Linked DNA regions of Rhinolophus ferrumequinum. The protein of the gene in region 2 interacts with the protein of the main gene of each other region in a biochemical or structural test. Links are inferred from orthologs where the notes say so. Each region holds a gene or a part of one and is shown on either strand. Other genes may lie near its edges.

Region 1 (7,633 bases), on a different chromosome or scaffold from region 2:
ATTTTTAAAATGAAATACTGCAAATAGGATTAAAAATGGTGAGCTGCACCATTTTTTTAAAGTTGTTTTATCTATTTGTTGAGTAAATTTACTACACTTTAAGAAAACATTTCCCTATTATGGACATTTAGATTTCCTCTAAGGTTTTGGTACTAAAACAAACTTCAAAGAATATAGGAATGTCTTTCTCATACTTTCAACACTACCTGAAATGGTAAATTCATTTCTTTTCATCACTCCTACAAGAAAATAAAGTTTTTTTTTGGTTTTTTTTTTCTGGCAGTTGTGCTCTCCTTTTGGTTTACTGAGAGATACATTAGCCTTCTTGATACCAGGGACATTGATTCTAGGGCTTTCAAATTTCCTTTGTACTAACCTATACTTCTGATGCCCTTCCGATCTTAGAGTCTGGATTGAGAATTTATTCTCTGGTGGATACCTTAATCATCATTATTGCCACCTTTATACGTTTATTAAGAGCCTTACAAATAATATCAGATGCTTACCTTTTATCTATCTTCCCAGGTCCCATTTTCCTGCATTATTTTATTTAATTTTATCTTATTCTTTTCTATGATTCTTCTCAAGTGCCATAGTGAAAAGCACATGGATTTTAAAAGATCTAGAATGAAAACATGATTCTGCCACTTACCATGTGACCTTTTGCTAAATTAAATTTTCTGAGGCTATAAAATGGGGACAATAATATCTACCCCATGAGATTAGTACTGACTTACACATATAAATATACACATCATCTCCTCCTACATGCCAGGTATTTTACATCTCTTATCTCTAACTTTTGGAGTAGCTAGGAGCAAAATATATAAATAGTAAGGCAAATAAATACAGCAGGCTATGAAAGAATCAAGGAGATAGTGTGAGATGGATGTGGTGTAAAAAGTCACCAAACTAAGACCTGAAATTTGAATTGGAACAAGTTGAGTGTGGCGAGTGTTAATAAAAAGTGCTATCAACAACAACAACACAAAAAGCAAACAACAAGAAAAGCATGGATAAAGATTCTGAGGACAGAAAGAACTCAGTACACTTAAGGAATTGAAAGAAGCAGAGAAATTCAGAACCATGCAGAATAAGGGAGAGAGTGATAGCAGATGGGGTCAAAAATGGTTATTTTGGGAGACCCTATTGTTGGCTTATCCATTGCCTTATCCTCTTCTTTCTTGGTAAAAGAACCCCAAATTATATTGTTCAGATAACTGAAAGGCCACACTCTGTGGGATAAATTATGAGTTGAAGCCAATCAGAGTACCCTTATTGCCTTTTGCTAATGACTGTTTAAGAATGGTCATTGGGCCCAATTTGGACCAATAAGATATAAGGGAACGTCTGCAGAAGAAGGCCTCATTTTCCTCCTACTTAAAAGGAGAGAGAGCTAGAAGAAGGAAACCCTATCTTTCCTTTCTGCTTTTTGGAGATTGTTGCGTATAGATGTGATTACTGGAACAGTGCCTGCCATCTTTCTGCCATGAGGAAGACACTGCTGATACACTGAGGATGGCAAGTGGCTGAGACCTTGAGGACATCATTGAACTGTTGTGCTGCTTACCTCTGGACTAATTTACCATATTTGATAGTAAATATCCTTATCAATTAAGGCACTTTCAGTTGAACTTCTATTCCCTGCCACTGAAGGTGTCCTAACTGATTATAGTGATTGAAAGAATTAAGATCTGCAGGGCTTCGTAAATCATGATAAGGATTTGGAATTTAATCCTAAGGGTTATGGAGAGCCATTAAAGTGTTTTGAGCATGGGGCAACATAAGATATTTGCTTTTCAAACGGTCACTTTAGTTGCAATGTGGATAATAGCTTGGTCAGTGTGGTAAAAGTGGGCGTAGGTGGAGCAGATAGGAACTATTGCAACAGGTCACACAAGAGGACACAATGATTTAAAGTATGTGGTAGTTGGCCATGGGAATAGTAGAAAATGAAACCATGCAAGAACTACTGAGAGAGAAAATGAGGCAGAATTCTGATTGTGACTGTGATTGATTTAATGTGAATGAGGAAGAGGAAGAAATCGAGGATGGCTTCAGATGTTTGGACTGAGCTACCAGTGCCACTAGCTACTAGTGCCATTTACTAAGAGAGATAAACAACTGGAGGTAGAACAGAGTTTACTATGATGACTTTTTACTGGACATGTTGAGCTGAAGGTGACTAATGCAACCAGGTTGGTATGTCAAGTAAATAGTTGGGTCTTTGAGTAGCCTAGAGTAGAGATAAATACTTGAATGTCTTCAGAATCTAGATGATTAACAGAATCTATGTGGTTTTGGAGATTCTTAAGGAAGGAATGAAGAATAAGAAGGGTAAAGAGCCTAAGACAGAATCTTTAGATCTCTAGCATTTAGCTTTCCCCTGGAGAAGGAGAAGCCAGTGAAGGAGACTGAGAAAGAACAGCCAGAAAGAAAAAGAGAGAGAGAGAGAGAGAGAGAGAGAGAGAGAGAGAGGAAGGAAGGAAGCCAAAGAGTTTTTCTATTATAAGGAGGGAGCAAATCAACACTGACAAATAAAATGTAATTGAGAAGTCAAGCAAGAAAAGGACAGAAAAGAATCTATTGGATTTAGCCACATGAAAACCACTCACTGGTGACATTGGGATTGAAGCAATTTTTGAACAGATGGAGGCTGAGTGGTTGGTTCAGAGTCCAGGTTGGACTGGATAAAGAGGGAATAATTAAGAAATTGAGACATAAATGTAGAGAATCAGGTCCAGAAATTTGGCCTAAAAGAGGACACAGGGCAGGAGCTGAGAGACATGTAGGGATCAAGGGAAGGTTTTGGTTTTTCTTTTAAAGATACCCAATTCATTAGCAAGCCCTTTTAGGTCTTTTGTCTAAATATATCCCGAACCTGTACACCTCTCACCTTCTACCCAGATAACTCCCTGGTACCAACCTTTATCATCCTCACTTAGACAAATTCAGTAGCCTCCTAACTGGTTTCTCTGCTTTCTTATTTTGTTCCTGTCTTTTTGAGCACACACAGCAGAGTAAATCAAATCACGGCACCTTGAATAAAATCCAAACTCCTGGACCTGGCCTGTAAGATTGGATACGCTCAGGCCTGTCTGCTACCTTATCTCATCCCATCTACGCGCGCTGGTCCCCGATGCTCTGGCTCCACACTGTTTCTGTGTTTTGTTCTTGCCTCACTCACTGTCCCCAGTGCTTAGCAAGCTTTTCCCTAAACCTTTGAATAGTTGACTCCTTTTTATTATTCATGACTCTGCTCAAATGTCACCTCATCCAAAAAGTCTCTGACCTTCTTATTCTCCCCCGCAGCCTCACTCCTTGTTTTATCTTTTTCATGGCTCTTATTATCTGAAATGATCTTGTTCACTTATTTATTTGTTGATTACTTACATCTTCTCTTTAAATTTAAGTCTGGCGGGAACTGGGTGAAGTTTACGGGATTTTAATGTATTATATGTGTGACTATATTATGTAGTATTGTATGTATGTATTGTATATATTATGTATTAGTATGTATTATTTCTTAATAAACATGTAAACTATAATGATCTCAAAATAAGTTTTCTTTTTAAGTACGTTCTATGAGAACCAGAGTTTTGTTTGCTTGTTGGGAACTGGGTTCCATCACCAGAATGGAGTCTGGCATGTAGTGGGCACTAAATAAGACTTATTAAATGTGTCAATTAATAAATGATATATTGGGTTATGTTTAAAAGAGTATGGGGCCGAGAATACAAACAACAGCAGGAGATCCTGAGTCGAGGAAACTAGTGATTGTAGAATTTAGCACTAGACATCTTGTCGTGGTGTTGGCTTTCGAATGTAGGTCTTCAGAGCTCTTTCCACTACCCCACGCTACCTCTCCATTAATGGGGTACTGACTGAAGTAGTGAATAGCACTGTCTTAAGAGATGCTCAATCATCATACATCTTTGTAGCTTATTGTGATTACAACAGTGCAGGACTGCTAGGACCACCACCTTACAAGGGGGTGTGCCCTGATTCCCATAAAGTATAACCAGGCCCGCGCTTTCCTTAACTGTGGGGGAGGAGGATTGCACGATAGCCTGGAAAGTTCACTGCCCAACCAGGTCCTCTGCTCTGCAGTTGAGGTTTCAGGTTTCAATCCTCGTAGGACTACGAGACTTTACAGCGTGAACCGTACAGCTGCCGCCTCCGCCTCCGCGCCTCAACCAAGGCAACGAGCAAAAGGCAATTTCAGACGCTCTGCCGCGCTCTCGGCCTGCCCTAGGCCGAGGTTGGGCGCTGCGACCGAGGAGGCTGCATCTAGGCTGCGGTTGCTGCGCGCGCTGGGAGGCGGCGATCACAGCTGGGCCGGGACTTCCTTCCTCCACCGCAGGACAACAAAACAACCCGGCAGCAGGCACTGAGCTCTTGGCAGCTGTCTGGGTAAGAGGATCAGCGATGGGCTCGGTGTTAAGCAGCGATAGCGGCAAATCCTCACCCGCCTCAGCCACCCCGCGGGCCCTGGAACGCAGGAGGGACACCGAGCTGCCCATCACGTCCTTCGACTGCTCGGTGTGCCTTGAGGTGTTGCACCAACCTGTCCGGACCCGCTGTGGCCACGTGTAAGTGCCAGGGGAGCTCGGTTTGCGCGCCCATCCCCGAGGGCGGGCGACGTTGGGGGAGCCCAAGGCCTGGGAAGGGGAGTTCAGAAACCAGCGCTTGAGGGAAACTACTGCAGGGAGAAATCTGGACCCTTTGAGTGCGAGCCACGGGAAAAAATGCCCAACCTGAAGGTGGACACAGGATTAAGGGAGAAAGCAGCAACAAGGGGACGCTGCAGTCCCCCTAGAACTGCCTCCTCCCAAAGTTTGGTGCGGAGCCCCGGAGATGGGGATCCCTGGCACGGGACCCGCAGAGAACCAGGGCTAGCCACCTGGCTGAAGAGGTTGAAATTGGCAGGAGAACCAGCACCTGCCTGTGCACTAAGCAGTGGGCTTCCGCACAGCGGTTATCCGGCTGAACTCGGTTAATCCGGAGGGTCTTGCCTCCGCCCCCAGGTCGGTTTTGTTTTGGTGGCTGTGTGCACGTGTTCCAGAACGCCCGCCGAGGCTCGCCTCTTGAGCAAACAAGGACCTGTGCAAACTCTTTCCACCCCTAACTTCCCCTCCCTTTCCCAACACAGACACCCAGATCCCTCCAAAATCGTCTAGTTAAACTGGAACGTCCAAGTGACTTTCCGTAGTCGTTCGAGTTCAACAACCTGTCAGGGTGGGGTCTGGGGCTGCACCAAGCCCGTGAGTGGAGCCGTTTAAAACCCAGCCACTGAGTGACAAGAGGTTGCAGATTACCTGTTTTACGCACAGCCTCCCCGAAACAATACATAGTTTAGATAAAATTAACTATCTTAAAAATCACGTGCTATTTAAGATTCGCCGTTGGCGCACAACCATGCTAGTTTCTAAGAAGAGTTTAAAAACAAAATCTCTGTATAAAATTGGCACGTTCTTAATGCCTTCTCGAGTAGTGGCAGGAGTTGGGTCTGCGCATTTGTGTTTGTTTACTTAGAGTTTGTTTGCTTAGAAGCTTTCTTTTCATGGACGCACGGGTGTGTGACTGTGTGTGTGTGTGTGTGTGTGTGTGTGTCAGTGTGTCAGGGAGATTACAAAGAAAAAGAGCGGAAACCCACTTAATGTCTTTTTTGGACGGCTCACTACCTATAGCTTGAGGAAGCGCCTGGGGGATACCGCAGTAAGTGCTTTTGGCTGGGGGTGGGGGGAGTTGTAGAGGGGGGAATAGAACCATATTCTAAGTGCAAGTACACAAAATGTTTTTTCAAGGACTTACTTAGGTGGTCCTTGACACCTGTAGCCTAGTACCTGAGAAGTCGTTTTCACCACTGAAAAGCCCAGCAGTGAGCCAAGGGAGAAGAATCTGCCATTCACACAATGTTGAAATAAAGCGTGCCTTGGGCATTATTCTGTAACTGTATTCAGGACTTGTTGTTTCAGTTTTGTACTTTAAACCCAAGACTAATTTACCTCCCGTCTGTTTACTGATGTTGTTTCTCAGCTGTCCAGAAGTAGCTCACTGGCAGACCATTGCCAGGCCAATATGGAAGCCAAGATGTTGTGTAACAGTATAAAATACATTGATTAGTTCCAGGCAGTAATGACCTCATTTAAATTTAGTCTGTATTAGCATTACAACTTTCAAGTTGGGCCAAAGATGCACAGTAGGCATCAAGTCTTGAAGATTCTTTTTGTAGAACTGAAATGGGAAGTTTTGCTATTGCATATTGAAGATTGTTAATGTTTGGAGATTGTTTTCCCTGGTTTAACTTACTGTGTGCAGTGCTTTGGCTTCTGCTAAAGGATAATATAAATTTGCAAAATGTTAAATCTTGTTTAATCTTTTTCTTTGTTAGACTGAATAGGAAACCAGCAACTGGAAAAATAGTCATGAAGTTTAACAACAAGGGCTGGACCGAGTGGCCTTCCTTCACTTTACTGTTCTTTGTTTTGACAAATCTATGTCCATTGTTCTGGCTGTGGGCAGAATTTCCATATCCCTCCTTTTGGCAAAATTACTTGGGCCCCTTCCATTTTATAAATGTTTAATTAGAGCTCTTTCAGCACTGGCGGTGGTGAGCTCTGTTAACACCATTTGTACTTCCTAAATCAATTTCTGTCTTCCATTGAACTTAAATTTGGAAAATGAAGACATGCAAATGAGCCTCTCTATATTATCTCTTATTGAAGATGCTAATGTTCAAATTTGTTGAACTAGATCATTTACGCTAATTTCTGTGTATAAACCTATTTCAAGTCAAACGAGTATAATAATGGCAACAATACCTTGAATGAATATGTATATAGCACTTTATAAATTGAATTATGATGCAGTAGAAACCTTGGGCTTCCCTGGGCTTGATAGAAAGCCCGGGATTTGAAATTCATTTCTGCCACTAACCAGTTCTGTGACCAAGATGTTCCTTAATCTCATTGAATCTGTTTCTTCATTTGTAAAATAGGGTGGATAATGGAATTTTTATGAGTATTTAGTGTAAAAGTAGCCCATAATGAAGGCTCAAAATATAGTTTCTATTTCCTTCAAAGCCATTCCACAAAGCGAAAAACCCATGAACAGGTATTTTTTAGCTCTATATTTCCTTTGGAATAAAACTGGGCCACGATATTACAGCACCATACACAATAGCCAAGACATGGAAACAAGCGAAATGCCCATCGGTAGACGACTGGATTAAGAAACTGTGGTACATTTATACAATGGAGTATTACGCAGCCATAAAGAAGCATGAAATCTTACCATTCGCAACAATATGGACGGACCTAGAGAACGTTATGTTAAGTGAAATAAGTCAGACAGAGAAAGACAAATACCATATGATCTTACTTATATGTGAAATCTAAAGAAAAGAATAAATGAATGAACTAATCAGAAACAGTCAGAGACATAGAGGAAAACCTGAGGGTTGCTAGATGGGAGGGGGGTGGGGATAAGGGAGAAGGTGAGGGGATTAGAAAGCACAGTCGGTAACCACAAGATTGCCACAGGGTTACGAAAGTCAGCTTGGGGAATGTAATAAATGTAAAGATTTTGTAGGGTATCCGATGGACACTTGTCTCATTAGGGAGACCACCTC
Region 2 (8,624 bases):
TTGTCAAGGATAGACCATTTATTGGGACATAAAATCAGCCTCAGCAAATTTAAGAAGACTGAAATCATACCAAGCATATTCTCTGATCACAAGACTTTGAAATTGGATATCAACTGCAAAAAGACAGCAGGAAAAAACACAAATACATGGAGATTAAACAACATACTTTTAAAGAACGACTGGGTCAAAGAAGAAATTAGAGGAGCGATCAAAAGATACATAGAAGCAAATGACAATGAAAATACATCCTACCAAAATTTTTGGGATGCAGCGAAAGCAGTTTTAAGAGGGAAATTTATATCATTACAGGCCTATCTCAAGAAACAAGAAAAATCCCAAATAAATAACCTCATGTTACACCTTAAAGAACTAGAAAAAGAAGAACAAATGAAACCGAAAGTCAGCAGAAGAAAGGAAATAACAAAAATCAGAGCAGAACTAAATGAAATAGAGAACAAAAAGATAAAAGAAAAAATTAATGTGACAAAGAGCTGGTTCTTTGAAAAGATTAATAAAATTGATAAACCCTTGGCTAGACACACTAAGATAAAAAGAGAGAAGACACTAATTAACAAAATCAGAAATGAAAAAGGGGAAGTTATCACGGATACCACAGAAATATAAAGGATCATCCAAGAATACTATGAAGGACTATATGCCACCAAATTCAATAATCTAGAAGAAATGGACAAATTCTTAGAAACATAGCCTTCCTAGGCTGAACCATGAAGAACTGGAAAATCTAAACAGACCGATCACCAGTAACGAAATTGAATCAGTCATCCAAAACCTTCCCAAAAGCAAAAGTCCTGGACCGGATGGCTTCACTAGTGAATTCTACCAAACCTTCAAAGAGGATCTAATACCAATCCTGCTCAAACTCTTCCAAAAAACTGAAGAGACAGTACTCCCTAACTCATTTTGTGAGGCCAACATTACCCTGATACCAGAATCTGGTAAAGACAACACAAAAAAAGAAAACTACAGACCAATATCTCTGATGAATACAGATGCAAAAATCCTAAACAAAATTCTGGCAAATCGAATACAACAATGCATTAAAAAGATTATTCATCACAACCATGTGGGGTTCATCCCCGGAGCACAAGGATGGTTCAACATCTGCAAATCCATCAATGTGATACATCACATAAACAAAATAAAGGACAAAAATCATATGATTATATCAATTGATGCAGAAAAAGCATTTGACAAGATACAACATCCATTTATGATTAAAAAACACTTAATAAAATAGGTATAGAAGGAAAATACCTTAACATAATAAAGGCCATATATGACAAACCCTCAGCTAATCTCATAATTAATGGTGAAAAACTGAAGCCCTTTGCTCTATGTTCAGGAACACGACAGGGCTGTCCCCTATCACCTCTGCTTTTCAACATAGTGTTGGAAGTCCTTGCCAGAGCAATCAGGCAAGAGAAAGAAATAAAAGACATCCAAATTGGGAATGAAGAAGTTAAATTATCACTCTTTGCAGATGACAAGATGCTATATATAGAAAACCCTGAAGACTCCACCAAAAAGCTATTAGAAACAATCAACGAATACAGTAAAGTTGCCGGCTACAAAATCAACGTACAAAAGTCCATTGCATTCCTATACACTAACAATGAAATCGCAGAAAAAGAAATACAAAAAACAATTCCTTTTGCAATTGCAGCAAAAAGAATAAAATACCTTTTATTCTTTAACCAAGGATGTGAAAGATCTATATGCTGAAAACTAGAAGACATTTTTAAAAGAAATTGAAGAAGACACAAAGAAATGGAAAGACATTCCATGCTCATGGATTGGAAGAATCAACATAGTTAAAATGGCCATATTACCCAAAGCAATATACAGATTTAATGCAATCCCCATCAAAATCCCAATGGAATTTTTTAAAGAAATAGAACAAAAAATGATCAGATTTGTTTGGAACCACAAAAGACCCTGAATAGCCAAAGCAATCTTAAGAAAAAAGAACAATACTGGAGGTATTACACTCCCTGACTTTAGCTTGTACTACAAGTCTACAATAATCAAAACAGCATGGTATTGGCAGAAAAACAGACATATAGACCAATGGAATAAAATTGAGAACCCAGAAATAAAACCACATAAATATGGACAGATAATTTTTGACAAAGAAGCAAAAAACATACAATGGAGAAAAGACAGCCTCTTCAATAAATGGTGCTGGCAGAACTGGATATCCACGTGCAAAAGAATGAAATTGGACTGCTGTCACCATGTACCAAAATTAATTCAAAATGGATCAAAGACTTAAGCATAAGACCTGAAACAATAAACTGCATAGAAGAAAACACAGGTACTAAACTTATGGACCTTGGGTTCAAAGAGCATTTTATGAATTTGACTCCAAAGGCAAGGGAAGTAAAAGCTAAAATAAACGAATGGGACTATATGAAACTTAAAAGCTTCTTCTGCACAGCAAAAGAAACTATCGACAAAATAAAAAGGCAACCAACTGAATGGGAGATGATTTTTGCAAACAGTCCCTCCAATAAGGGGCTAATATCCAAAATATACAAGGAACTCATGAAACTCAACAACTAAAAAACAAACAACCCAAGTGAAAAATGGGCAGACGACCTGAAGAGACATTTCTCCAAAGAGGACATACAAATGGCAAATAGACATATGAAAAAATGCTCAACATCACTAATCATCAGAGAAATGCAAATAAAAACCACAATGAGATATCAGCTCACCCCAGTCAGAATGGCTATACATCAACAAGACAAATAGTAACAAGTGTTGGAGAGGCTGTGGAGAAAAAGGAACCCTTATCCACTGTTGGTGGGAATGCAGATTGGTGCAGCCATTATGGAAGGCAGTGTGGAGGTTCCTCAAACAATTATGAATAGAATTACCATATGACCCAGCAATCCCTCTCCTGGGTATCTACCCGAAAAATCTGAAAACATTTATATATAAAGACAAGTGTACTCCAATGTTCACTGCAGCTTTGTTTACGGTGGCCAAGACATGGAAACAACCAAAATGTCCTTCCATAGATGAATGGATAAAGAAGTCGTGGTATATATACACAATGGAATACTATTCGGTGGTAAGAAAAGATGATATAGAAACAGAAACATTTGTGACAACATGGATGGATCTTGCGTTCCCAGCAGGCTACCTATATTGATTAAAAGAAGGGTGGAGGGGGGAAGTAAAGGAAAACACGTCCTGAATTGTTTTCCGGCCCCAAGAGGCGGGCGCCGCTGGGGACCACTCACCCTCCTTAAACCAGGGGGCCATGTAGCTCAGGATGTAGGTAGGGTCCAGAATCTTCGTGACATAGTTTTGGAAAGCGTGCAGATTCCGCCGCTCCTCGGCCGTCATAGCGGCAGCTCGACTTCCCGTCTCACCTGCGCTCCACTCCCCGGGAGCCCGCAGAGAACCGGGAGGGATTTTCCCGAAAAACGAAACTGCAACTACTAGCCCGGCCGGGCCGCGGAGGCTGGGTTACCAAAGGACACAGCCGCCCCGCCTCCCTGTCCCCGCTTGGTTTCGTTTCCTCTCCCGCAGCTTGCTTTACCCACCCGTTGGCGCTCGCTGGCCGACGCCTGCGGGCGTCGCTTTTTTGATTTTCATGTTATCTTACTTTTTTGTTTTGCTTTTATAGCGGTAAAATTGAGATTCAATATAGTGCACAGATTTGAAGTGTACAATTCTGAGTTTTGAAAACTGCATGGAGTGGAACCACTTGCCCCAGGTTGTGTGCGCCCTAAGGTAAGTGTAAGCGTATGTTTAACTTGACAGGAAACTGCAACCTCTTCCAAAATGGCCTTACCATTTTGCATTCCCACCGGTAGAGAGCTCCAATAAATACACATCCAGTAAATACAGACACTGGTCAGTTTTGTTTGCCACCTTGGTTGGTATGAAATGACCTATTACTGTGGTTTTAATTTTAATTCCTCAAATGATGATATTGGGCACATTTGCATATACTTATTCGCCATTCATGTATCTTTTTTTGTGAATATCTGCTCCAATCTTTTGCCTGATTGAGTGGTTTTTCTTTGCGTTATGGATTTGCAAGTTTTTAATTTACTGGATACAAACTCATTGTCAAATACATGTATTTCAAATATCTTCTCCCAGTCTGTGACTTACCATTTCATTTTCTTAAAGGTGTCATTTGAGTAGAAGTTTATTTTGGTGAAACCTAATTTATTAGTTTTTTTCTTTTGTTTACTGATTTTTGTGTTCTCTTTAATAACTCTCTACCTAGTCCAAGGTCATGAAGATATTTTGTGTTTTCTTTTAGAGTCTTTGTGTTCTTAGCTTTTACATTTAGGTCTATGATCATCTCAAATTAATTTTGTTTTGGTGTGAGGTAGGGGTCAAGGCTTCATTTTTTTCACCATACTTCTAATTGTTCCAGCACAAATTGTTTCATTTGTTGAAAAATTTTCCTTCTCCCACTGAATAGCCTTGGCATCTTTGTCAAAAGAATCAATTGACTGTATGTGTGCAGGTCTATTTTTAACTCGTGTTTCATTTATTTGCTGATACTGTTTTATTCTTCTTTGTAAAGACTGTGTTGGCTATTCCAGGCTCTTTGCATTTCCCTATGACATAAGAATCAACTTGTCAGTTCACACACACACACACACACACACACAGGCCTATTGAGACTGTGATCAGGACTGCATTGATCCTACAAATGAACTAGGGGAGAACTGACATATTAACAATATTGAATTCTAATCCATGAATTCATTTACTTAGGTCTTTAATTTTTCATTTATTTGTCTTTAATTTCTCAGAGATATTTTAGAGTTTTAAGAGTAGTGTTTTTATACCTATCTGTTAAATCTTAACATTTCATGTTCTTTGATGCTACTCTAAATGGAATTATTTTTAAAGTTTAATTTTGAAATTGTTAGTATATAGAAATACAAATGTTCTGTTTCTTGACCTCGTTTTATACAACACTGATAAATTCACTTATTAGGTCTCATAATTGTTCTGTAGATTCCTTAAACTTTGCTAGGTAAACAATCATATCCTTTGTCAACACATGGTTTTTACTTTTTCCTTTCCAATCTTTATGCCTTTTGTTTCCTTATTGCACAACCTATGATCTCCAATAAAATGTTGAATATAAGTGGTGAAGAGTTGACACCCTTATCTTATAGTAATCTCAGTGGGAAAACGATCCATGTTTCACTTTAATTACAATGTTGGCTGTAGGTTTTTTTTAGATGCCTTTTATCAGATTGATCTTCTTTTATTCCTGGTTTACTCAGAGTATTTATCATGAATGAGTATTGAATTTTTCAATTTTTTTTTTTTTGCATCTATTGTGGTGATCATATATTGTTAGTATACCTGAATTTCATTGATTTTTTTTCCTGAGTATTAAACCAACCTAGAATTCCTGGGAAAAAGTCCATTTGGTCATGATGTAGCATCCTTTTTAATATATATTTCTGGATTCAATTTGCTAATATTTTTGTATCTATGTTCATAAGGGATATTGGTCTGTAAGTTTCTTTTCTTGTAATGTCAGGGTTATGCTGGCCTCCTACACGAGTTCGTGTAAGACTGGTATCATTTCTTTCCGAAACATTTAACAGAATCCACAAACGAAACCATTAAGGCTTGGAGTTTTCTTTCTTTGAAGATTGTTTATAACTATTCAATTTCTGTACTAGACATAGGCTATTCTGCTTTTTTATTTGATCTCAAATCAATTTTGGTAAGTTGTGCTTTTCAAGGAATTTGACCATTTCCTCTAAGTTATTACATTTACTGGCAAAAAGTTGTTCATGATATTCCTTATCCTATACCTTTTTTAAAAAATCAGTCTTGCCAGGAATTTACCAATTTTATTTATCTTTTCAAAAACCAACTTTGGCTTTAGCTTTTCAAAATTGTTACTCTATTTTCTATTTCATTGATTTCCGCTCTAATCATTATTCTTTTCTCCCACTTTAGGTTTAATTTGCTCTTCCTTTACTAGGTTGTTAAGGTAGAAGTTTTGATCACTGATTTTACATTTTCTTTTCCAATGTAAGCATTTGAGGCTATAAATTTCCCTTTTGTCAGCTGATAAGTTCTAACATCCCATCAATTTTGATATATGGTTTTCAATGTCATTCCATTTGAAATAATTTCTAATATCCTTGTGATTTTTTAACCTATGAGTTAATTGAGAAGTATGATGTTTATTTTTCAAATATTGGGAATTTCCTCAACATTTGAGGGTTACTGATTTCTGATTTTAATCTGTTGTGATCAGTTTAATATGTTGTAAGATTTCAACCTTTCGAAATTTGTTGAAACTTGTTTTACGGCCCAGCATATGGACTATCTCGATATATGTCCCAGATACACTTAAGAAGAATGTGTATTCTGCAGTTCTTGGGTGTAATGTTCTTATACATGTCAATTATTCAGGTTGAGTTATAGTGTGGTTCAAGTCACCTATATCCTTACTAATTTTCTATTTGTTTTGTCAAGTACTGCGAGGGGTTGTTAAAATCTCCAACTATGATTATTGATTTGTCCACTTGTCCCTTTTGTTTTATCAGTTTTTGCATCATAAATTTTATAGCTGTTATTAGATACAGACACATTTAAGGTTGTATTTTCCTGATAAATTATGCCTTTTATCATTATGAAATGTCTCTTTTGTCTCTGTTAATGCTTGTTATGTCAAAGTACTATACCTGTAACAGCTTTCTTATGGTTACTGTTTTCATGGTATATCTTTTTCCATCCTATTGCTTTCAACGTCTTCTAATATTTAAAGCACATCTCTAGTATACAGCTTATAGTTGAGTCTTCCTTTATTGTATCCAGTCTGATAATCTCTGGCTTTAAATTGGAGCAGTAAATCCATTTACATTTAGTTATTGACATGAGCTTAAAACAGCAAGTTTACTGTTTGTTTCATCCAATTTTGTTCCTTTGTTCCTATATTCCTTCAATTTGGGTTAATCATGTACATTACTTTTCTCTTTTAGCTATAATTCTCTGCACAGTCACATGCCGCTTAACAATGGGGTAAGTTCTGAGAAATGCCTTGTCAGGCAATTTTATCATTGTGCGAACATCATAGAATGCACTTACACAAACCTAGATGGTATAATCTATAACACACCTAAGCTACATGGTATAGCCTGTTGCTCCTATGCTACAAGCCTATGCAACATGTTACTGTACAAAACAACACGAGATTAAATCAAGCACTAGAGAAAAGGATGCCATCAAGAGACACAGTAAACACAAGCTGGATGAGGCTGCTGCTGGTATAACACAACATATTGTTTTACAGCAAACTTTTTTTATATAAGTAGAAAGAGTGCACCCTAAAATATATAGTGCAGTAAATACAAAAACTAGCCACAGTCATTTATCATTAGTACACACTGTACAAGATTGTATATGCTATCATTTTATATGACTGGCAGCGCAGGTTTGTTTACACCAGCATCACAAGAATGCATTGTGCTCCAATGTTACAACTATGACATCCCTAGACAATACGAAGTTTTCAACTCCATTACAATCTTATGGGACCCGTCATATATGTAGACCATTGTTGACTATACATTGTCATGAGCCCATGACTGTATTCTTTTAGCTACATGCCTCTCTCTCATCCTTAGATTTTATCAGTCTACTTAGAATTATTGTATCGTACCAGGTAAAATTTAAGATCCTTGCAACCACATAATGCCATCTACCCCAGTCCATCCTTTGTGCTAGTCATAATTTTTACTTCTCTAGATCTAACGAACCACATAATACAATGTTACAAACTTTATTGTAAAAAGTCAGTTGTCTTTTAAATAAGAAAATTATAGTCTTTTCTATTTTCCCATCTATTTACCACTTCGGGTGATATTCATTCTTATCTGTAAATACCGGTTTCTATCTGAAGTCATTTCCCTTCTGGCTTCTCCAATGTATTGGTAAGGCTTACAGTGAATTTTTCATTTCAAATACTGTTTTTAAAAATTTGGAGACTTTCGTTGCTTCTTTTTCTATTTCTCAGCTGAGAACCTCCATCTGTTCATTAATATAACCCTCTTTTAAGTTCATGTACATATTTCTAATAGCGTCTTTAAAGTCTTTGTCTTCTAATTTCATCATGTGGATTATTTAAAGTATGTTTTTTGTAACTGCTTTTTCTTGACTATGGGTACCTTCACGTCTAGTAATTTTGTTTTATACTGGACATTATAGCTATGCTATAGAATCTCTAGATTCTATCATTTTACACTGGGGAGTGTTGCTTTTGTTCTAGCATGATAATTTACCAGCTACTCATTTTGAATTTGTAGCTTTGTTTTACATTGTGGTGGGTCTGTTCAGCTGTGCCCTTAGTGCAAGGTGAATCCCTTAGTCCTGGGTCATGGTCTTTACTGCAAAGGTGTGGCTCAGTAGGGGTTTCAGTGAAAAGCCCTGTTTTCCCTGCCCTTGTTAAGTTGGTGAAACTCAGTAACTCCAAATTCTGTTTTCCCTGTGGTGGCAGCTGATGTCTGATGAGCTCTTTCAGCCTTCCAGCTACTGCTTACCTGGGCTCCTCGGAATCTCCCATGCATGTTTGTTTCAAGGTCAGCTAAGGAGTT

The links. The genes of interacting proteins can lie anywhere in the genome.
Region 1: of the proteins of RIGI (region 2) and RNF125, one has a biochemical effect on the other in vitro, tested with the Homo sapiens proteins (3 studies listed by BioGRID and IntAct, with this or other methods). The link is inferred for Rhinolophus ferrumequinum from reciprocal best matches to the Homo sapiens genes RIGI and RNF125.

The regions. Positions count from the first base shown.
Region 1 is NC_046302.1:26,751,378-26,759,010, forward strand, and holds the start of RNF125 (E3 ubiquitin-protein ligase RNF125), read left to right. Parts: upstream 1-4,076; 5' UTR 4,077-4,428; coding exon 4,429-4,592; intron 4,593-7,633. UniProt on the Homo sapiens protein: E3 ubiquitin-protein ligase that mediates ubiquitination and subsequent proteasomal degradation of target proteins, such as RIGI, MAVS/IPS1, IFIH1/MDA5, JAK1 and p53/TP53.
Region 2 is NC_046295.1:49,873,460-49,882,083, forward strand, and holds the start of RIGI (antiviral innate immune response receptor RIG-I), read right to left. Parts: upstream 3,471-8,624; 5' UTR 3,376-3,470; coding exon 3,270-3,375; intron 1-3,269.